Arabidopsis thaliana: one gene and its partners. The protein of the gene in region 2 interacts with the protein of the main gene of each other region in a pairwise test. Each region holds a gene or a part of one and is shown on either strand. Other genes may lie near its edges.

Region 1 (8,591 bases), on a different chromosome or scaffold from region 2:
TAGCATCACCATGCTGCGTTTTGCATCCATTCCAGCTGATTCTAGTTCTGTTTTCAGAGCTTCCATAGCCTTTCTGAGCTCTACAAGCTCCTTTTCGAGTTTAACATTTTCGCTTTTCAATGATTCAGATTGACTCTCCAAATCATTCTTCGCTGAAAATAAACTCTTACGCTCAATCTTAACTTTCTCAAGCTCTTCTAGAGTTTTTGCAACCATCTTCTCTGATTTCAAAACCTCTGCCTTAAGATCCTCTCCATTTCTCTTCTCCTCATCAAGTGCCTTATCAGCTTCTTCTCTCCTGAGCTCAACTTGCGCAAGAGCATTGCTTAGCTGATCAACTTTGCAGCTAAGCTTACCGTTAATCTTGGTTTGATCATCACAATTCTTTTGCAGCACAGCAACAGCATGAGTTAGCTCATCAGCCTTTCGATTCAGCTCAACAAGCTTCCTCTCCCGACTAAAAATACGCTCCTCAAGCTCAACTTTCTCCCGAGACAACTGGTCAATCAACTTCCCCTTATCAGATGACTGTACATTGAGCATCTCCATCTGTTTCTCAATCAAATTCTTCTCTCCTATTAACCTCTCAACCTCAGATTCCTTGATTGTCCTCTCTTTCCCTAATGCATCAATTTCCACCATCATTCCACTCTCTTTCTCCATAGACTCATCAAGATTCTTCTCCAACCCGATAACCAAATCCCTCAAAACCTTCTCTTCCTTTGTCAAACTCCGCACAGTCTCATTCAACTTGTCTAACTTTCTCTCCAGCTCCTCGATTACTCCTTTTTGTTCAATCTTTACAATCTCCATCTCATTCTTCTCACTTAAAAGCACTTTGATCTCTCTCTTCAATCCATCAATCTCATTCTTCTTCTCCTCCATTATCTTCTCCAGACCAATCTTCTCCTTCTTTACCCCTTCAATCTCCTCTTCTCTCACCTTCCTCTCCTTCACCAATCTCTCATTTTCAGATTCCAATTTCCCAATCACTATCTCCAAATTGGATTCTTTCTCCTCCAAACGAACTACACACTCCTTCAATCGATTCACCTCCTCATGCTGTAAATCAAACCCATTCTTGATTAAGTCCCTCTCATCACAAACCTTCCTCAACTGTTCCTTCTCAATCTCAACCTTACCCGTAAGCTCAATCGCTTCCCCTTTCAAAACCCTAATCTCACTCTCTCTATCACTCTTCTCCTTCACCAACATATCAACTCCAACACACATCTCTCTAAACTGGCTCTCAACAAACACAATAACAAAATCCAATTCAAACTTCAACCCGAAATTCTCATCACTCACCTGATCCAACTCGTCACGCAACCCAGTCTTCTCCTGACAATAACGAGCTAACTCGGTCTCCAATTCATCCTTGGCCTGAACCAGCGAATCGATCTGGTTTCTCTTCTCCATAGCTTGTTTGAGAAGCATCGCATTAAGAGACTTCAAATTCTGGAATTGCTCCTCCGAAGAATCGTGTTCTTCCATGGAAGACTGACGGCTAAGTACCGTGGCTTTCTTGTCAGTCTCCGGTGCTTTCTGGTCATGTTGTTGTTGTCGGTTATCATTAGCGGTGTCGTTACTGTTACGCGACGCTTTCTTCTTGGCCATCGTTTTGAGGATTCTCGAAGGTTGCAAAAAAAGTGGTGGCGGTGATTAGGGTTTTTTGAGGATTTCGATGGTCAGTGTGAAGAGAGACGAAACGTCTTTGGGGGTAAATTTGCAAATTCAAAATTCAGGGCCCAGATTTTAAGATTTGATTTATCTTATCACATCAGTCTTCTCTGTTTTTAGATATTTTCGTAACGTAAATCCAACAACGTTGCACGTGACTGCCACGTGATACTAGTGACTAGTGAGAGTGATTATAAACCGAATTTAAGCTGGAATTAAACCGGTTTTAATTTAGTTTGTTCCATTCCCATCCATAAACAAATTTCAGCTATTTTGATCACATAATAGTTTTTTTTGGTAATTTTTTCCAACGATTTACATTCACCAATGAAAGAAACCAAAATAGTTTTACATAATAATAATTTGGATCGATTTCAAGAGGCTAAAGCAACCTCTCGAATGCGATCAAGATCTCCCAAGTACTTAGTGGAGTTATATTCTACACTATCTAATAATTCTTCGGAATACGTTCGTTGCATCATCTTTATCTTCGCTTCTCTTGGAGTCATTACGACATCTTCGTGGCCTAGTAATAATTCCACAACCTGGATACATTTAAAGAAACAGTATCAAAACCGGAACCAAAACGAATTTGACATTTGGTTCTTTCCCACTTTGAAACCTTAACCGGGATGGAATTACAATATTATACCTGGCTCATCCGGGGTCGTAGAAGAGAAGATTGATCGATGCATAAAGAAGCCGTGGAAGTTAACCGGATAAGCTCTTCTCGGTTATACTCATCTCCAAGAGATGGATCCACCAATTCTTTTATAGCTTTTCTCTCTAGCAACGGCTTAGCCTGTAAGCAAAAAGGAAACGTAACTCGTACCAGACTGATAAAAGGATAGTGAACCGGTCCGGTTTAGCCTCAAATGTCAAACTGGTCTATATACTCACCCATAAGACAAGGCTCTGCTGAGACTCGTCAAGGGCAGGATGTCCGGTTATGAGCTCCAAGAGGAGAACTCCAAAAGCGAAAACATCAGTCTTCTCGTCCACGATTCCGTGCATGAAATATTCAGGTGCAAAGTACCTAAAACATTGTCCAACCAAATTCTCAACTGAACCACATAAAAAAAAACTTTTCCTAAAAAATTTCAAATTGTTACCCGAATGTTCCCTCAAATTTGGATACGTTATGGTGTGTCAATTGCTTGGGAAGCCATTTGGCTAACCCGAAGTCGCAAATCTGCGGTTGAAAATCTTCGGTGAGAAGAATATTATCAGCTTTGATGTCTCGATGAATGATTCGTCTTTGACAACCCTCATGAAGATACACTAGTCCATCTGCTGTTCCTAACGCTACATTGTAACGTCTGCTCCAAGTCAGCTTATATTTTGATGGTCCTGTACAAATTAATTTGAGCATTTAGATATGATAAGCTTAAAAGCCCGATATGTATATCCGTTAAGTTTATGGGTGGATATAGAAACCATGGAGGAGAGAGCCTAAGCTTCCAAGAGGAGATAGCCGGAACACGAGATGCATTCCACCCTCGATGCAACAACCGATGAATTTGGCAGTGTTAGGATGATCAACATGAGCAATAATCCCAAGTTCCGATAGAAACTCAGCTGTTTGCTCGTCCGGTGTGCCTTTTGTCAAACGTTTCACAGCGATTAGCTTTCCTTCCGGTAGAATTCCCTGGTATACATCGGCGTAACCGCCTCTACCGATAATGTTTTCTGCATAGAAGCGTCGTTTTAATTGCAGTAATAGTAGCAACCAAACAGTCCTTCAAGTAAAAAAGAAGAGAGTATATTGTTATGAAGATAAACTCGATACCTGGACTGAAATTGTCAGTTGCAATTTCGATGTCAGATATTGAGAAGTTTTGGAGAGATGATTGGAAATCGTAGATATCGTGAAGGACCATGCCATTCATGTTTGGATCTGCACTTTTGTTTTGTTTGATGATCGGTGGGGCGGCGCCACTTAATGGAGGAAAGGAAGAGAGGCGTTTCATGGATCTGCGTTTCCATAGCTTGAAGAATTTTCCCCAATTAGAAGATGCTCTGTGATTCTTGCACTGTACGTCTGTGTCTGCATCTGCATTGTCGATAGCTTCTCTGTTTGGAGGAGGATCGTCAGATGAAGATGAAGCGGAAGAGATTGAGCAACGAGTTAAGCAGGCTTCGAGGGCTCCTCTTGGTGATTTGGGGTCTTGCTTCTCTTTATCTACCTCTAGTAATCTTAGATCTGGGAGGAGAAGGGAGAGAAAACGTTGGAAGAAGCTAGGTTTTTTGGTGTACAAGCAATGAATAAGAATACAGAGGACAAGAGAAAACAGAGCAAACATAGAAACAGAGGAAACAGAGGAGCTAGGTTTTACCATGAGCTGAAGCAGAATTCATAAGAAACGCGTTGGTTCTTTTATGTTTTGACGTATGATTTATGTCGTTTGGATCTTCTTCAGTGACATAACTTGAATATTTAGAGTTGTACCTGCCTCGGGAGATTCAAAAGAAAAGAACAGACTAAACATGTCGTTCTTATGTAAATTTTGCGGGAAATTAAGAGAAAATCGGTGAAAATTCAGGGAAAGTTCGTTAATTCTGCTTAAACGTTCGTTAAGTATCAATGAAAATCATAACAGAACAGAAGATAAACTTCTAGACATTAATATCATGTCTACCAAAAAAAAACTCAAATCAAATATAAGAACAAACAGAGAAAAAAGTGATTTGATTGAATGATTACATTGGAAGAGCACAACACACGGGAGAAGCTTCTTTGCTTTGGTCTACCGCCATGAAAGAGTGTTGGTAGGACACTTTTAAGATTTTCTCAGAAACCTGAAAACCTAAAAATAGAGAAGAGGATCATAGAAAGGAAATAGAAAGAAGTTAACATTTAAACCAAAAATAAATAAAAATAGAAAGAAGTTTTGAAGTTGGTGTTCGTCTCGAGACACCCGAAAGAAAAGGTTTTGTCTGTGTGTTTAAAATTTGATTTACTAATTTAATTGTTTTCCGTTGACCAATGGTATATCTACTAGTAGTTTTTTTGTTAAGCTAATAGTTAGACTCTAAAATGACTAAATCCTATATTTGGCAATATGCTTTTGATTTTCTCTTTTTGGATTGAACTCAGAGGCATTCTCTTAGCTTCATTCATTTATGGCAGAAAGGGTTAAGGGTCCTTAAAAATCGCTTCATCTGTCGGTCTCGTTATCCAAACTCATATTCCTAATTTAGGTCTTTTAAGGTTTTAAAAAACTACTTTCTTTATCTTGTTGATAAGGAATTTATAAAAGATCAAACTTGAGTAATCTAAGTAGTTTTAGTTTTACTAATTTCATTTACTGTTACTAATCAATTGTAGATATTGACATTCTTGTATATATTGCGACCTGATAGTAATTATCTTTAATTTTCTATATGTTTTTATTCAAGTAGTACTCTGTTTTGTATTTTCTTTCTTGTGAATAGAATATTTTCTGTGTGTATATGATGCAGAAAGCCTGCATTAAAACCTGCATTGGCTTTATTGCTTTGCACCGTTTATTTATTTTTATGATTCTTATTTTTGTGATTAACAAATATTATTTCAAGTGACTCTTATATAAGTTTTGGATAGTTAAACCACGGACCACAATCATGTTGGAAGTGATTGTTCAATACTTCATTGTTGTATAAGAGAGGGGACATCGATCATTTATGTAAATCTTGTTAGGTACTGTTCTGTTCTATCAATCTATCAATAGTCCCTACGCTAACTTTCTGTACCCTCGATTAAATAGGTTTTTGCTCAATGACGCTGGGTCCAAATTGTAATGACTCAGTTCAACTTCCGCGACAAAATCATTTTCATAGATTTTGATGATTTCTATAGTGGGCGGTTTTTTCTATACATCTTACATTCGCAAGAATTTGAATGATATTAGCCCATATGACGAGAAGAAGAATAATTCATTACTTATGTGGTTAATGCGGAGTGGAAACGAATATCTCATGGCCAACTACAAATCCAAATACTGTCTTTTGAATCCCTGTAGTTTTATACTATATGATCTAGAGTTTTTTTTGGATTTTGTCTCCCAAATTAGAAATTATTATAGTATCAACTATCCATCACATTTATAGAAAAAAAAAAAAAAAAAAACTATCCATCACAGCTTGGATCTTGCGGTGGGCCAGGAAAAAACACATGAGCATCGGATCTGTGGAAAACAACTGTCTTATCGGGTCAAACCTTTGAGTCAATTACACGTTACTGTGCATGTCATAAACCATCACCAAAAAGGAAAACAAAATAACAAACCATGCATCTTACTTACCCAGTAACACAATGCATCCATAATGTACATAGTATTTGTGAATTTTTTGAGGAAAGTATTAGTGAATATTATTACTATGAAATACCATGTAATTACTTCTGAATTATCTTACTTAAGAAAATTCAAGTTTAGTCAATCAACATTAAAACTATAGAGAACCCCCAACGTGTAATAATGCATTGGGAGTTGGGACTTTCATAAAATCTCGAATAAATTAATTCAAATTGTCTAATTCGTCCAAAATTATCCTGCATGGGTTTTAGCTAAGCCAGCCTAGCTACATGTACTGATTTATACAGAGATAAATATAGACATGATATATATCAATAAATTAGGAACAAATCAGAGTTTTTAGATCTAAAAACACGGTGCCTTCTCATTTCCTCCGGTGAGTTATCCAAATCTTGTGTTTCTTATCATATATCCTATATTTTATCTACATAAAAATTGATAAGTATTCGTTGAATTCAAAGGGCATTTTACGAAGAAAATGGAGACAAGAAAAGACGACATGGAGAAAAGGAACGACAAATCCGAGCCGTTGCTGCTGCCGGAGAATGGATCCGACGTCTCAGAAGAAGCATCATGGATGGTTTATCTAAGCACGATCATTGCCGTTTGCGGTTCCTACGAGTTTGGAACATGCGTAAGATTCTTTTACGACACCTATTACTTTGGAAATAAAAGATGATGAGAACCTAAGAATTTGTGACGATTAATCTTTTTGATACGAGAAAATCTGTGTTTGTTTTTTAATAGGTGGGATACTCCGCTCCAACACAGTTTGGGATTATGGAAGAGCTTAATTTATCATATTCCCAGGTTTATATTAAATTGATTAAGTCTTCTACGTTTATAGATGCATGTTTAACAATATTTTGCTTAATCTTTTTTTTTTTTTTTTCTCTATTGGAATCTAGTTTTCGGTTTTCGGATCGATATTGAATATGGGAGCAGTGCTCGGCGCCATTACATCGGGGAAGATTTCTGATTTCATCGGTCGGAAAGGGGTAAAACCTACCTAAACAAAATTGTTTTTATCTCAATATACACACAATAAATCCTAAGAAAAATATACCATTTTTACGAAATATAAAATTACTTTTTGGCTCACATGGTTTTTGTCTTTGAGACAGGCCATGCGGTTGTCTTCAGTGATCTCTGCCATCGGCTGGCTGATAATTTACTTGGCCAAGGTTATTCTTTTGGCTGAATTTCTTCAATAGCTGTTTTCAAAAAAAGCTTTAAAATAACATGGAAAATCTGCAACTAAATAGTGATGTTTTTTTTTTAATATTAGGGTGACGTACCTTTGGATTTCGGAAGATTTCTAACGGGTTATGGTTGCGGTACCCTTTCCTTTGTGGTACGACATTTTCATAAGCATTTTCCCCTTATGGATAAAAAGCCATGCATAGTGTTATAAATTAATCAATAAATAAAAATTCCTTTTTATATATGAAACTTTTTGGAAATCCACATTTGGCACCGATTTTGTGTAGGTACCGGTCTTCATCGCCGAAATTAGTCCGAGAAAATTGAGAGGAGCCTTAGCGACGCTTAACCAGGTGATGATGATGTCCTTTTATTTACTACTGCATTAGAAAATGTACTGATTACAATAGAATCAGAGCTAGCATATGTGTTGGTGTTTTCGAGATATTTGACATTGTATCACAAATTAGGAGTATTTTGTGGTCAAAAAAACAAAAATCAAAACAGTATTTAGAGTTATTTAAATCTTTTAAAAGACAACAAAAAATTATTGTTTTATTTCTGAAATAAATTGAAATTGTTAATATTGCAGCTCTTTATCGTAATCGGATTAGCTTCTATGTTCCTCATAGGCGCCGTCGTAAATTGGAGAACTCTTGCACTAACCGGTAAACTTGTTTGTGCGGTAGCTGAACCGGAAATATTTGTTGTTGGTTTAGTAATTATACAAAATTAGATGGTATAAAATTTAATTTGGGTATAACAAAACGAGGTTTAATTAACCAATTTCAGGAGTTGCACCGTGCGTGGTTCTATTCTTTGGGACTTGGTTCATCCCTGAATCACCCAGATGGCTGGTAAGATCAACGATCGTAACTCAACATATGGTTGAAATTAACCTCTTAACATTAAAACCAAAAAAAAAACTAACCGACCCAACTCATATGCATTTTGCGTTTCAAGGAAATGGTTGGCCGCCACAGTGATTTTGAAATTGCGTTGCAAAAACTGAGGGGTCCTCAGGCCAATATCACAAGAGAAGCCGGGGAAATTCAGGTACAATCTAAAACCAGAAAATCGGTTTTGTTACGTGACATGACATTTTTCGTGTTTTGAATTCCGGTTTATAGGAGTACTTAGCGAGTCTTGCTCACCTCCCGAAAGCCACATTGATGGACCTTATTGACAAAAAGAATATTCGATTTGTGATAGTAAGAATCTCTAATTCCATTCAACCGATTATAACTATTTCCCGGTTTGATTTGGTTAAATCTTATTTTTCTATCTATTCAGGTTGGAGTTGGTTTGATGTTTTTCCAACAATTCGTTGGAATTAATGGCGTTATCTTCTACGCACAACAAATATTCGTATCAGCAGGTTATAATTCGAAAATGATCTAGCAAATGTTATAA
Region 2 (8,161 bases):
AACATAAGCTTCTAAAATCTAAAAATCTTTAATGACATTTGTATATATAAAAAAAAAAAAAAAAAAAAACAAAGGGTCTAACTAGTTCTAAATGGGCCTTGGGCCCAAACAATAGTGGGCCTTAAACTTAGTACGACGATTCTTCCCAGTTCTGCGTAGCCGCCAAGATCTTAGACAAAGACATAACATTTTCATCCATCGATGGACGATTCAAATGATCTTTCTTTAAACAATCCACCACTAATCTCTCAACAAAACTTGTTAATCCTTCAGGTAACAATCTTCCATGAATCAAAATCTCATCAATAGCTTTACCTTCATCGATCTCTTTCTTCAATTCAGAAGCTTCTTTACCAGTAACAATCTCCAACAAGACAACTCCAAAAGCATAGACATCAAGCTTAGTTGAAACTAAACCATGTTCCAAATACTCCGGAGCTAAGTACCCTCTTGTTCCTTCCACGTGCTTGGTCAACACGAAATCTTCAGTCGTTGATCTTGCTGAACCTAAACTACCAATCTTTGCTCGAAACTCGAGGTCGAGGAACACATTGTTGCTGTTCAAATCTCTGTGAACGTATGGAGGATCAGCGAAGTTGTGTAGATAGTTTAGCCCTGTTGCTATATCCAAAGCGATTTGTAGTTTTTGTGTCAAGCTTAGTAACGATTTCGTCGTGTGGATCCATTCACTTAAGCTTCCGTTTGAAGCGTGTTCGTAGACTAAGTACCAATCTCCTTCATGGAAACAGAATCCAGAGAGACGGATGATGTTAAGATGGTTTAGTTTAGACAATAAGTTGACTTCCTCCGATGCGTTTCCTTCGATTTTCTTGATCATTGCGCCATCGCCGTTGATTTTTCCGATGTACCCTGATCCTCCAATCGAGCTAGACGATGTGAAATCGCTTGTAGCTGATTGCAGCTCGTGAAATTTGTAAACTTTTAAGGATTCTACCACCATACCTGACAAACCATCTAGCGGATCGAATTCTTGATCAGACATCGGTGGTTTCTTGCCCATGAAGCTATCGAGGTTTCCCGTTTCCTCTTGCGTTTGCGTTTTCGTTTTCTTCTTAGACAGGCAAAATATGGCTGCACCGATCACACTCAAAACCAATGCTCCTCCTAGTACTCCGGCAAGAGCATAGACCCATGTTTTCTTCTTCGATTTCCTACCATCCGGCGACAATGGAGGAGGAGAAACCGATTGTGGAGGAGGAGGAGGAGGAGGAGGAATGAGAGAGTTAGTATTTGCAGGAGGATTCACCAAAGGGATCAGGATTGTTGTGAAAGGGAAAACTTCAGAATTCTCAAAAGACATTTCGTTAGCTTTTAAAGTCTTGCTCGTCTCAACCCCGAATCTATCGCTGATGATCGCGATAGTGTCTTCAAAAACCACAGTATAACTCATCAGATACTTCACGCCATCTTCGTTGATCTGTTTAGCCGTGGGACACGCACAACGGATCGGAACAACGATCCTCATACCAGGAAACAAAGATTGAGAAGAAACATTGTTCTGTTTTGCCAAAGCTTGACATGTCGAAAGCCCCTGAAGAGTGTCGTTAGCAATGGCGAAATACGAATCGTTTGGTTGGATTGTGTATGTAATATTGGATTGTGAATCGTCACCGGTGCAAGAACAAGTTAAAGGGATAATGACTTGTTGACCAGAAGGGAAAGAAGTTGAAGGTGAAGCGTCATTGAGGGAGGAGACGAGAGATGGGTCGACAGAGAAGAGGGAAGAGATTGAGGTGACGGTGGAGAAAGAAGGAGTAGATCGGAAAATGACGTAAGCTTGGCAAGTTTTGTTGAGACCATTACAAGAGTAGCCGAAAACAGAGGTTGTGTTGTCGGAAACAGAGCAATCAGTTGTTGATATTCCGACATAAGGCTGTTGTGCTGTTGCGAAGGAAGAGAGACTTAGGAGGATGAAGACGAGGAGATGAAATGAAAACGAGATCATCGTGATTCTGTAAGATTTGGTTGCGAAGTTTCTGATTGGGTTTATAGGAATGGTGAAGAAGAAAAGTCAACTGTTTCTAGTAAGTCAGCTGTTTCTTGGAGTAAATGAATATTTTAGGTTCATTAAATTATTGGAATGGATAAATTATTATATTCATACCATTGATTTTGTTTTCTTTTTTTTGTGTGTGATTCAGAATCATATGAAGGCTTTGAAGCCGCCAAAGACGACGTGAGAGGGATGACATAAAGGCTTTTGTCTTTTTTTCTCTTCATCTCTTCTGGTTTAATTCCGACAGTAACCAACTAAAATGATTCATTGGTAACAACTTTTGATGTATGACGTTGCTAATAATTTTTCAGCGAGAGGGCGTTGAAAATAAAGTCTTATTAAACGCAATCACCGACGCAAAATGGGTGGTATCCAGTTTATGTTCATATTCATATCATACTGCTGAGAAAAAGATTGGTCATTTCTTGATTCTCACTACGACCCAACATGAGCTCAAACCATGAAGGATTCTAGGTTATTATTGTCAGAACAACAATATGGAATAGCACTAAAGCAAAACTTACCTATAGTGGTGGTCATTGTTGTCTGCAACGCCGTCACGCAGAAGATGACATTTTACATGTTGAAAAGTTTATTTACAAAGGGAGAGGTAGTTGAGACTGGTTTAAGCCAAGGACGGGTAAGTGATGCTCTAGAAGTCATCCCTAGGGTCACTGTTTCGATATTAGCAATTTAGCATCAATCTACAACTATCTAGCAATGTGTGAACACCTAACAAACTATCGAGTAAACAGAGTGAATTCGAGATCTGAGAGATCAGAAGAAGAACAAGAATCGCGGAGTGTGATTCCCTTATCGTCATGTTCTGTCCCAGCAGTCCACTACGTGAATCAACTCACAAGAACAAGCTTAGTCTCGCACAAGAATGCTCACGAGATCAGAGCACTACACACAGCTTTTCTATGTTAAAATAGAGTTGTTAAAACAAACAACTAAACCGACACAGCAAATCATTCCTAAACACATTAATTTAGCCACTGATCTGGTTCACATTTAAGGGGAGCTTTTCATGTTCTAGATTCAACGTCTGTTCTTCGTTTATAAAGCAGAAATCAGTTTAAAAACTATATTCTATATAAAAGCTAGCATCTATCAACCTTAAAGAATCAAAGAAAGTAATGATCTATCAAATATTATAAGCATAATACTTCTTATGTCATAACACGCACCATTTATTTCACAACTAGTTTTCACAAGATGCTTAGACAAAACACAAAAGCAACAAAAGAGTTGTGTAAAAAAGCTTGTAGACTCACGGTTCATCTTCAAAACAAAAATACAATAACAACGTCGAAATAGCAGACAAGTACACTCAGCTATTACCATATTTACATACACAACTTGCACCAAGTAAGTAAGTTTGATCATACCTGGAAATACACCAAATGTGATTCGTTTTCACCAGATGAGAAATATCACCACACAGATTCCAACAAAAAAGAGGATATTCTTCAGAAATGCATCACTTTGGTTTCCTCCACGAGCCATAGGACGCTCTTGTCCACGAGGAGGAACTCCACGGAAACCGTTATGATAACCACCGTAAGGATAACCCGGTGTTGAACCATAAAGCGTAGCATCATGAAATCCATGAAACTGAAAGTTAAACAAAGAAGGTAACAAACCACCAAACCCCATACTGAAATTCCCAAACCTCGTAGTCGCCATCATCGGCATAATTCCACCCATCAAACCAATACCGTAGTTGAAAAAATTACTCGCAGCTTCAGGCTGAGGAGGAGGAGCAGCAGTCTCAGGTCTTTGACCTGTTGGTCGGTTAGGAATCCGTAAACCCGGATAACGTTTTGATCTCGGGTCAGTCTGGTTCTTGCCTCTACCGTAAAGAGGAACAAGCTTATCGTCTTGAACCACGGCTTTACAAACCGGACATTCTTGAGAATGTGAATGGTGGTGAAGCCAACGGTATAAGCAAGGCCAGCAAAAGAGATGGCCACAGAGAGTGACAATCGGATCTTGAGCTAGTTCGAAACAAATGTTACATTCAAAGTCTCCTCCTTGATCATTTGTGTCATTGTTACTATCAGAGTAAGACGTACTAGTTGATGATTCTCCATTCACCATCTCAATGCCCTAATTCAAAAAAAAAAAATTGAAATCAAATCAAAAACCCTAAATTCGAATCAATCAAAAGCTCTAAATCATAAGATTGGACAAACCCTAATAAACCCATAATTAAAAACCTAATCTTTCTCAAATTAGAAACGAAGACGATCGATTTGAATTTGAACCGACAAAGGCAAATCGAATCAATTGCAGATCCATGGATCAGAACTAAAGTGAAATTAAAGAGCAAAACTTACCTTTTTCGCGTCGAATTGGAGCAAATTCGAGGGTTTTAATCAGCAGAAAAGAGAAGGACAAGATCCCTAAAAAGTAGAGATTTGGACGAAACAAAAGAGGAAACCAGACATCTTGGGAAAAAACAGAGTCTTACTGTTGTTGGGAAAGAAAGTTCCAGGCTATATCTGACTTTTGGTTTTTCTCGTTTTTTTTCCATATATTTTCTTTGGAAGTTTTGATTAATTATTGGGCCGATTATATTAATTTCTAAACTGATATTGGGCCTGATTAGCTACAACAACACATTTTGGTAGATAAAATGATGCCAAAAGCTCGTTTTAAACGTAAACTAGATTCCCGAAGGATTATAAAATTTAAAGGAAAAGAAATTGCAGAGAGTCAAACCTAAACGTTTGATATATATTTTTGTTGGTGAACGCCGATCGATTAGTGTTAGTTTTCATTAAAATTAATTTATCTGTATACCAAAATTATATATCTATGATGTTAAATACATGACAACGTATATTTCATACACAAGGTCATGTAATATGTACATCTATTTTATATAACTGATGATATAATAATATATTTGATATATGTAATTATAATATTTTCCAATATTTGGTGAGCTAAAAAAATGTTTTTTTATTCAATAGTATTAATTCTCTGGATTCATAAAAATTAATAGCAAAAGGTCAATTCTCCACTATTATTAATTAAAATTAATAAATTATGAAAGGATATTATTAATTTATTATGTGACAAAAACCCGTCCCATTACGGAGGAGAATCACGCTATCGGATTTGATTCGATTTATAACATGACAACGAAATTATAAATGTAGTTGTACTTTCACAAACGCTTGTTAGAAAAAAATAGATCTCATTTAGTTTTTGCAAATATGAAATCTGCAGATAATTAATTCTGTATTATATTACACCTTCAAACATTTATTTACACAATGTTAAATTTTAGATCGGTCATAAAATAAAAAAATAAAAAAAATAAAAAATAAAAATCGAAAACAAAAACATAACTCTTCGCTGATGTTACATAAGCCGCAATAATAAGAACAACCTCTTTGTCTTTTTTTCGAAAACTGAAAAATTTGAGAGTAGTACCCATTCGTTTTTTTCTTACTTTTTTTTGGGGTAGAATTCTCTAGTTAGGTAAAATCAGACACCATTTGTGACAACAACATTGAATCTAAGCAATTTTTCCCCTAATCAAAATTTTAACTCTTGATAGCTCCAAGAATCTTGGAAACATGATCCGAAGGCTTAGAGCAAAACAGCTTCTTCAGTTCATTATACCTCTCCAGATCAAACTCATACTCATTCATCAACTTTCTCTGTTTCGCCTCGAACCTGCTTTGGTAAAACCCTTCAAAAGAAGGCTCTTTCGATGTCCTGAGGAAAAACGCGTAACCAGCCATAAAGTACACGGACGTGACATAGAAACAGATTGGCTCCATCACGTCCCACGAGAGTTCCCAAAACGTTAGCCTCATGAACCCCGCAGTCTGTAGGATCAAGTAACCGAGACCAGCCCAAAGCTCTTTCCGCACCAAAGTGTGAGCTTTCACATCGATCACTGCCTTTTCAGCTTCAAGCTCTTTAAACTCGATTCTCCGAGGGTCATTTGGGTTATGGATCTTTGGCAAAGGAAGCAGTCCTTCAATGGATTTGGTAACCTGATCAAACACAATAGCAAAAGACAAAAACAGAAAATGTCTGGGTAAAACAAGACCTCCACCACCTTCTTTTGAGACACACAATTAGCACACTCAAAAACACACAACAAAAATACATCTTTATGAATCAATGACTAGTTTATAAAGTCAATCAATCCATCCCCATATCCCTGTTTCTGGTTAAGATCTTCCACTATTGACTAATCCCTCCACATAAACCCAACCCATTATCATCATCATCTCTATAAACTTTCTAATAACCCCCAAGAACCAGTTAGTAAGCTTCTCTCAACTCTCTCTTTTGAAGTTTTTTTATGTTTAGGTTTTGGTATCAAATCACCAAAGGGTCTTGACTCAATTTATAACCCTAATCCAACCAATGGTTTTTTTTTTAGGGGAAAAAAAAAGAGTTGTGGTCTCTGTAGAAACTGTTCCTCTTTATCACCATCTCTCTCAAACTTGGGAACCTCCTATGGAACTCTGGTAAAAACACAGAGGTTTTTGATTCTCCTGTTGAATTGGAACCAAAAGAAAAGAGATCCAACCGAATAAAAATGGTATCAGTTTTCGGTATAGCTTCCAAAATCAAAATCGAACAAAAACTTTTGAGAACCTAATCCGTTTTTTTCAGAGAGTTTTTAAATCTCTCTCTTATCTCTCCCAATCAATCAGCTGCAATACTCAGAGAGATCTCAGAGACAAAGCACGATTTCAAAATGCTAAAAGGCTAGAGAAGAAGAACGAAGAAAGTACCTGATCAGGTCTAATACAAACGGAATCTCCCAAAACGATGACGTTTGCTGAATCATCAAGCATCTTCGCGATTTTAGATCCGAGATCTGGATCTGAAGAAGCTTCACCACAAACGCTAACAAACTCCTTATACGGCATCCAGCTTCTTCCCGTTTCTCTTAGCTTCGATTTCACAATCTCGATCTGCGCCGCTCTAAGCAGCTTCTTCGTATCCGCCACCGTCAAACTCGTCTCCCTCTCCGGCGGAGAAAGTCCGTCTAATCGAATCCGATCCTTGCTTCCATCAATCTCACGGAGTTTCTCAATCAAACTCTCTCCCACCGGCATCTGCATAATCTCCGCCGGCCTAATCATAGCACTGTTATGCATGAACCTTCGCGACATCGCCAAATCTCCAGGCTCCGGTGCGATTTTGGTTGTATCTGTTGAATCATTCGGAACTCTGGTTCGTACGGCTAACGAAGAAGACGAAATGCGACAATTCATAAGACTCTGTGAAGCAACATTCGTGATATTGAAGAGTTTCTTCGATAAAAGCTTCCTCATCGCCATTGTTGCTCTCCCAAGAAAAACTTTGAGAGAGAAAAATAAAAATCAAATTCGGTTTTATTTTACGACTGAATAATGAAACAATAGAGACTAAAAGGGTTTATATACTGTTTACAAATAATAACATTGTTTTTTTAAACCTAAAAATAAAGAGACTCGTACACGTCAGCGTATATCGGAACGTACACGAGAAATTAATATTACAGCAGGAATATTCGTTTTTTTTACGAAACTCTTTTGGTTTTTCTCGCGAGAAATGTGGAAGTGATGAGAGACGTACACGTGTTCGGGTTGGTAGAGGTGATAGCTTTGCGGTGGTATCGTAGCCGTTCGATTATAGCGATTTCCCAAAACAAGTGTTAGTTTTTGTTTTTAGAAACCTAAATTTGTTCACAACGGCAACAGAGCAGAAGAACTAGGGAATGAAAAGACTTTTACGTGCACGCAACCTGACGTGGATCCACATACTTTTCCTTTTCTTTTTAAATCAACTTTAACTAACTACTAGATTATTTTGATAAATACACTTTTACTAGTAGTCATTTTGATAATTTTTGTTACAAACTATGTGTGGATCTATCGATATCACGATATGTACTAATCCATCTACATCTAAAGATACGATTATTCGATATTTAGGTTCGCAAATAGATTTCTTTTTTGTAAATACTTCACCATCCTAAACTAAAACGAAAATCGAACTCCAAAATGTAGAGACAAAAATTCTCATACACATAACTCATAAAAAGATTTACCAAAATTTTTTTTTAAAAGGAAAAAGACTTTTTTAAAAGGAAAAATTTTTTTTTAAAAGAAACCTTTC
Region 3 (7,518 bases), on a different chromosome or scaffold from region 2:
GTATATAGATCTCTCTGTGTCTTCTTATGATTGGGAATTCAAAGTATACTTTTTAATCTTCTTTACAGGATTAAAGATGGAACTGGAGAAGCAGTGTATCCAAAATCATCCTTTGCTATCAATTGTAAAGGTAATATTACTAAAAGTTTTTGATATGCTAAGTTTTGTTTGGCAGAGTTTGATAGTCTTATAAATTGGTGCAGGTGATGTCTGCAAAGGAGACATTGTTTTGTTTACACAGAAGGTTCACCACAAGTAATAACTTCTCTATAATAAACTCATGCTTTTTACTTCTCCTATCACTTTTTTTTTTTTTTTTGTGTTTCCCTAAATCAATGATCTTGGGGTTGAATAGGTATGAAAAGATGAAAAAGAGTGGAAATATTATGGGGAGAAGAACTGTCGCTGGCCAGGTTGTTAAAGAAAGCTATGGTACTGCTAAACAACAACACACGTTCACTGTAAGTCTCACCTCTAATGTTTGTTGATCATCTTTATATTCTCTGATCTTGTTGCCTGGTTTCTTCTAACTTCTAACTATCTGGTTTGTGTCTTTATCATAGATTGAAGTGCTCTGGTGTGAGGGGACACAGAAATTGCCACCTTTGTATCCATTACTAGTCAAAGGACGAAATCTTTATAGGTTAATGACCTTGAGGCAGGTGGGTTTTCTTTTCTATTTTTTCATATTCAGTCATGAGTCTTGCCGGTTTGCATATGCTTATCAGTTGGTTGCTCCATTTCTTATTCCAGCGATGGCCAAATGAAGAAGACAGAGTCAAAGTTCTTAACGAAAAGCATAACCGTGGTGCCGCAGCAAGAAAGGTTATGAGAGAAAGGAAAATTAAGTCAGGCTATGTACTAAAAGGTGAGAGATGATTTAGTTTTCTTTGTTATAGAGGTGTGTTTATATATATATGAGAGGTTTCTTTTAGTGATCTTTCTGTTTCTGTTACCAGATGGAAGACTTCAAAAGCCTGGTCATGTGAAGAAGCCTTGTCAAGTAAAGACAAGAAAAAACGAGAAAGATGAGAATCTAACCCAGAGGCTTAGACAAAACACTCCCGCTAATCATTCACTTGTTGCTTTTCCAAACCAAAATCCTTCACAGGGCCATAAGAATCATCCAACACAGTTGACAGATATGAATCCCGCTAATTTCTACACTTCTCGACCACATGCTCCTCGTTCACATGCACCTCCTACATATGCTCCTCGACCACATGCTCCTCGTTCGTACGCTCCTATCAATTCACATCTTCCTCGTCCAAATATTCCTCCTTATCATTCCTATACTTATTCAGAACAACAAAACCAAACAAACCAACGACCACCACCTGCCTCCTATACTTATTCAACACAACAAAACCAAACAAACCAAAGACCACCACCTGCCTCCTATACTTATCCAACACAGCAAAACCAAACAAACCAAAGACCACCACCAGCTTTCTACATCAGAAGAACTGCCTCTAATGCTCCGCAGGGACAAGCATCATTCAACCCACATGTCAATACACACACTGTGCCGGTTACTCATCAGAGGAGACCATACCAGAACCCCCATGTCAGCTCGAACAGTGGCTACAACCTGGGAGTGAGGGACTTGGAACACTTCTCGCATATGATGATAAGCCACAGAAGAGAAGGAGACACATACAGGCAGAGTGAGGTCACTCAAGGGCCATACATGAACCATCAGACCTACCATTCCAACTTCAATAGTAGCTACAACCATGGGGCAAGGGACTTGTACATGGTAAACAACAGAAGAGAAGGAGACAATCACAGACCAAATTATCGATAACACACCGTACCTCGTGAGTAATATCTTTCATCATCATACAAACTTGGTACTTGTCTCTTTTGCAAGTAAACTTACTTCAACACAATTTCCAGGTTCTAAGGCCATAGGAAAGCGTCCTGATCATCGGTTCTCAACCCTTGTCTGTGATTCGTAAGAAAGTTTTCTAGGCTCATGATTCTCTTGATCATCCGTTTCTCTTTTTTTTTTTTTTTTTTTTTTTTTTTTTTTTTTTACGGGTGTGATTTTTTGCCTTCACTCTCATCTTGAGGGTCCGAGACCGTCCTCAAAAGTTATTACCTTGTAATCAAGGATGGTGTTCTTGGCTTAATTATTACTCTATATGGCAAGTATCGTTTGTTGGCTTTATTCTTTATTACTAAATGTTGCAATACTTGATATGAAGAATACGTAGATACATTAAAAAAAAGACAAATTACTGAAGGAAGTATGATTCTCGTTTGAAACATGGCAAGAACCATCGGGCTCTAGAGCGGGGAAAGGAAGAGGAAACAGATCGGTGCGGTTGTTCAACGGTGTTGGAATCGAGGTCGAATATGAAGATTTCGTTTTCGTCATATTGATCTTTAAAATAAGGAGTAGGATTGGAGAAGTAGATGGAATTGGCCTTGATCCCTTGCATGTCCTTGGCGAGCACTGTGATACCCAAATCCAAAAGAATTGTCTCGTCTCCCAGAGAAACAGTTTTCTCCCACTTGTTGTTGTTCCCTTCCATCTTGTAGATTTCAAAGCTCCATATCTTGGACAGACTCGGACGATGGCACTTAACAATTAAGACATGTCCGGCTAGAGTGACTACCATATCATCCTTGAAGTGATTCAACTGGTCCTTCATTGGAATTCCAGGAAGTCTCATTCTCATGGAAATACATAGTGGATTATTTAACAACTTACTTACGCTAGTTTTGAAAACTTTGACCGGAATATCTCCAGAGAAATCGAAGACCTTGAGTTTATAATTGCTCAGACAGTAAAGTTTGTGATCCTTAAAAACCATGCTAAAACACTCTTCGATACCTGACAAGGTTGGGATTTGTTTCCACGAGGAATCTCCTTTCTTGAAAGAAATGGCTAATTCTTCATGAGCCATTCCAATAACTAGGTGATCTTTGCTTTTCTCATCGGTCCATAATATCGGACATGTGAGTCCAAACTCTGGTTGGAGAATCGGTAGATTGATTCTCTCGCGGGTTAGAAGATCAAGAATATAGAGATTATTACATTGATGGTCTAAGTCTTCTTCCATGTATTCTGATTCAGGTTGCATCAAAAGCCAGCTTCCATAACTGGCGATACAAGAGCTCTTTGCGAAATCGTTGCCGAGATTTGGAGTTTTGTACATCTTGTCTTCCTCTTCAGGATTGAACAAGAGACAGTGATTGTTGTCCTTGGGGAATCGAATCATCCAAGGGATTTGATTGTTTGGCTGAGAATTTCTCGAAACTGAAAGCCAAGATGAACAAACGGATTTTGCACGTTGGAAATCGGCAAAACCAAGGCGGTCAAATACAAATTGCATGAGATCTGAAGGAAGCTTCGACCAGCACCAATCGAGATTTCTTCTCTGATCCGGTGGACCAGGGAGTAGCGGAGAGGCCATAGGACGGAATCTTAACCAAGCCCTTCAAGTTTATAAAGACGTCGAAACTTGTCTACGTGACATTCATTATTTAGGTTTGACGTTGCTTGTGTTTATATCTCACTAATGGAATGGCTTGGTGGCTGCTCAGAAAGCCCATTGGGCCTTGCATTATTATATAAAATATTTTTGTTTTTCATTCTTTATTTCTTTGTTAGCCCCATTGGTTACAGAAACTTACAAACCTGGTGTGAGAGTCTGCTAACAAGTTCTGAGGACCCTTAACAAAGAAACTCTCACACTCCTCTCCATCAAAACCTGAGCTTTTACCTTCTCTCACTTCCTTTAACTTATCCATCAAATTAAGCCCTGTCAAGTGATCTCCCCAGATATCATAGTACCTATACTCTTTCGCTTTCTCTTCTTTCACTTCGGTTCTTGATTTCGCTCCAGGTGCTCTCACATTTGGAGCCAGTGAGCTTCGTTGTATGATCATTGACTTAACCCCTGAAACCGGAAACGTTGCTGAGTGCGATAGGACCGGTTTAGTAGGAGGCTTTACTAGCTTCGTTGCGGCTTGAGTAGTAGGTGGTTCTGGTGATATTGGAGACCTAGGAGTTGAGTTTCCGCTGTAACTGCTTGAAACATCTGTGCACTCTGGTGTTAATCCGTTGATTCCTCCTTTCTTCTTTTTCTTGTTACGGCGCCTCTTCTTGTCTTTCGCTGTCTTTACAGTGAGATTCACAGCTTCTGATGCTTCTTCTTCGTGTGAAGAAGCAACTGGCTTAACGCTGCTGCTGTTCTTGGGAACCTCATCGAACACTTGCAGGCTTTCTTTGCTTATGGATCTTAGCAGAGAATCCATTTCAGGGGATATTGTGATCGTAGATGGTTTCTCAACTTCTCTCGACTCCATGTGGTTGCTATTGTTTCTCTTGTTGTTCTCCTCGATGAAGTGATCATTGAAGCAAAATATCAGAATGAGTAGAGCTGCAGCAATAAGAACCGCAATTGCGAATTTCTTCGTCCGCACCCAAAAGACCGGTTTTTTGTAGAGACTAAGCATCAAAACAGGTGCGGTCGCCTTCATAGGTACTGCAAAAACAGCAACTCCAGATGCCCAAGAGAGTTCACTCTGGTAGAAAAAGAGAAACTTTATGGAATCCCCTGGTTCTAATGAAAATCCTTCACATGGATGGTTCACCATAAAACCATTTCCTCCACATTGTTTTCCTGAAACCGTAATACTTAACTCCCTTGTGGTCTTCTTAGTATAGAGCTCTTTGGACATAGGCTCGTAACAAGTGTCTCCAATGTGAAAGAATCCAGTAAATGGCTGAAACTCTATGATGTGGACAGGCTTCAGAGATAGCCACACAACACCAGATAGATTTTTTCTGATCAGAGCAGAGCTACTCCGTGATTCTTTGGGACAAGCCAACACAAATGGATCAGACCGATTCTCTGATCCTAAAGCTGAAAGGAAACAAAACAGCTGTGAACTAGGACAAACATTCTGGTCAGATTTCTGGATTGCTACACTCCCAGAATCTTCACCATTAATAAAGCCCTGAAACTCCATAGCAGCAGAACCAGTGTTGTAACCATATTCAGCTAAGTTATGCAATGTATTGACTGATGAAAGCAATAGACATGAGAGAAGGAGAAGACAATGAAACGCCTTTGATGAACCAAATGCTCCTCCTCTGTTAACACATAAACACAAACACATAAGAGAGGTTTAACAAACAATGAAATTAATTTGGGGATTCACCAACTACTTAAAAAGCTATAAACATTCTAGGAAACAAAAAAAATCACCCAAAAATGAAAAAGGGTTAAAACAAAATGAAAATTTGAATAGTACCCAAAAGAGAGAATGTCATTTGAAGAAATCAGAAGCAAGAAATAGTTCTATAAACAGAAAAAAGACAAAGAGGAAGGAACTATTCCTATTGATAGCGAAAGGCGAAACTTGAATTAAAACTGTTCTATGAAAACATCGAACTAAAACCCAGAACAAGTAAGTGATAGAAGAAGCAGAGTAGTACAAAAGATTCGAACTTGATGTAAAAAAATTAAAACTTTCGTGAAAATCGAAGAACCCATCATCGGGAAAAGATAAAATAAAGTGAGGAAGAAAGAAGAAGAAGGATTTACCCAAGGTGGAAGAAGAAGGAAGGAGGCGTAATCGCTAGGGTTTTTCGCTCCATGTCTGAAAAGAACATCGAATCATCTGAAATTTAGGACTTTTTTTTTTAAAAAGATTATGTGAAGATTTAGTAAACAAAAAAATAAAAGAAGCGATTTTCTTGGGGACGAGAGAGCAACGCCACCTGAAGGAGAAGGGAGGCTGAGGACCAATAGACTGGAAAATTAAAGGAGAGGAACAAGATGACATACTCTTCCTTTAAATTACTTTATTACCCTTCTCTTATGACCTAACTGTTAATCTTTTGGCTTGGGTCCTTTCGTAATATTATTCAGTCGTCTTCTTTTTACCTTTTTTTTTGTTTTAAAATGGTCTTTACATAATGACATTTTAAGACAAATTTTTAGTTTTTGTGATTGTATTTCTACTTTATTTTGTTTTACATATACTTACCGTTTATTTATATTTCAAGTGGTAAACTTTGTAGTTCAATTGGCTAAAGCTGTAATTTAATTTTACTAGCAGAGTGAGCTACAAATACATTTACAAACAGAACAATGAATTATATATCAAAAATATTTTAAAAGCTTATTAAATTTGATAAAGATATTAACTATTATGTGTATAGTATTATACTATTATTATTACGAGATTCGTGGTAAATTGGTGTAATTAAAATGATATAACAAAAACAAAATATACTAATAGCAAAAAAGAAAAGTAAAGAAAAAGCCAAATACTTTTGTTTGGAACGTGGCATGAGAATCCGTATGAGACTTTTGGGGGCAAAATCGGCGTTACACATGTTTGGGTTGCTATGCGAGTGTGTTGGACTTTTGTGTGCGTACGACGACAAAAACCGGTACGGTCCGGTACAATTGCCAACGGTTGCCTCACTAACGGAGTTAATAACGGGGAATCTCGAAGTCTAACGGCGTTTACTTCGTCTAAGAGATTCCTCTCGACGTGTTGCCCACATTGCTACGATTCGCGGTTCTAGGCCCATGAAAAGGTCACATCTTGGATGATCGGACGGCTGAGAATTAAGTGGAAGTTTTAAAATTTTCATTAGACAAAGACATATATAATTGACGTATTAAACTATTTACTTGTGGAATTATTAGTTTTAAAAAATAAGCAAAGATTCTCATAATTAATTACTTGCACCAACCGAACCATTAAACCATGTACTAGACAGCGACTAATATTCTAGACCCCACTCGTATACATACAAGTCTCGTCATTCAAAATCAAGCCACTATTTACAGTTTAAAAGTTTTGTTTTCTTGTATTAATGGTCTAATAGTAGATAACTAGATATTTATACAAACAATATTAAAAGGTTTTTGAACTAGGAAGAAAAAAGGGATGGATGATAGTTATTGACATTGATACGAGTTATTAATTATATAAATAAAACAAGTACGAAGCTTTATGAGTCCTCTACTCTTTTTAAAAACATTTTTTGATAAAATGAAAAGTTAAAGGGGAAAAAAAAAAATATATAAACTAGGGAGTTGTATTTTACCATAAAAAAAAACAAACAAACTATGGAATTATAAATAAGAGAAGTTGAAAAAATATTGTTATGATGATATTATATATGTTATTTACAGACACTGAATAGTGAAGGTAACGAAGGATGTATGTTAAAAGGAAAAAAGAAGAGAGGAAAAAAACCAAAAAAGTGGAGGATGTATAAATGGGTTTCGATTATACCTTTATTGGGCTTAACTCTTTTTTTTTGTGCACAACTAATGGGCTTTAACTAGATGCTCATATTGATGGAAAATTAACGGGCCATCACTTTTTAATACGGCCCAGAAAAAGGTATTTTTTTTTTTTTTTCTAGTTCTGTGTTGGTTAGCATGTCTTTCAGACTCTCAAGCATGGAAAGCATATGTACAGCAGTCGCATGCTAGCAACTTTGCAAATAATAAAGAAGATTTGAATAAGAACTTC

What was found.
Region 1: the proteins of AT2G23780 (region 2) and RBK2 interact in a protein complementation assay, tested with the Arabidopsis thaliana proteins (one large-scale study listed by BioGRID).
Region 3: the proteins of AT2G23780 (region 2) and AT5G66830 interact in a protein complementation assay, tested with the Arabidopsis thaliana proteins (one large-scale study listed by BioGRID).

Annotation. Positions count from the first base shown.
Region 1 is NC_003074.8:1,433,763-1,442,353, forward strand, and holds RBK2 (ROP binding protein kinases 2), read right to left. Parts: upstream 4,778-8,591; 5' UTR 4,438-4,777; coding exon 4,385-4,437; exon of another isoform or gene 4,130-4,384; coding exon 4,017-4,129; intron 3,884-4,016; coding exon 3,470-3,883; intron 3,370-3,469; coding exon 3,118-3,369; intron 3,031-3,117; coding exon 2,793-3,030; intron 2,717-2,792; coding exon 2,581-2,716; intron 2,483-2,580; coding exon 2,333-2,482; intron 2,226-2,332; coding exon 2,055-2,225; 3' UTR 1,922-2,054; downstream 1-1,921. Other genes in the region: AT3G05130 (paramyosin-like protein), read right to left, coding at 1-1,617; AT3G05150 (Major facilitator superfamily protein), read left to right, coding at 6,454-6,609, 6,723-6,785, 6,884-6,973, 7,100-7,159, 7,264-7,329, 7,466-7,531, 7,771-7,846, 7,971-8,035 and 3 more.
Region 2 is NC_003071.7:10,120,115-10,128,275, forward strand, and holds AT2G23780 (RING/U-box superfamily protein), read right to left. Parts: upstream 4,523-8,161; 5' UTR 4,360-4,522; intron 4,130-4,359; 5' UTR 4,121-4,129; coding exon 3,437-4,120; 3' UTR 3,409-3,436; exon of another isoform or gene 2,924-3,408; 3' UTR 2,383-2,923; downstream 1-2,382. Other genes in the region: LYK4 (protein kinase family protein / peptidoglycan-binding LysM domain-containing protein), read right to left, coding at 128-1,966; AT2G23790 (calcium uniporter (DUF607)), read right to left, coding at 5,578-6,036, 6,790-7,341.
Region 3 is NC_003076.8:26,687,211-26,694,728, reverse strand, and holds AT5G66830 (F-box protein (DUF295)), read right to left. Parts: upstream 3,477-7,518; 5' UTR 3,426-3,476; coding exon 2,241-3,425; 3' UTR 2,040-2,240; downstream 1-2,039. Other genes in the region: AT5G66840 (SAP domain-containing protein), read left to right, coding at 69-130, 204-255, 356-461, 564-662, 754-868, 960-1,807; AT5G66820 (uncharacterized protein), read right to left, coding at 3,619-5,110, 5,565-5,632.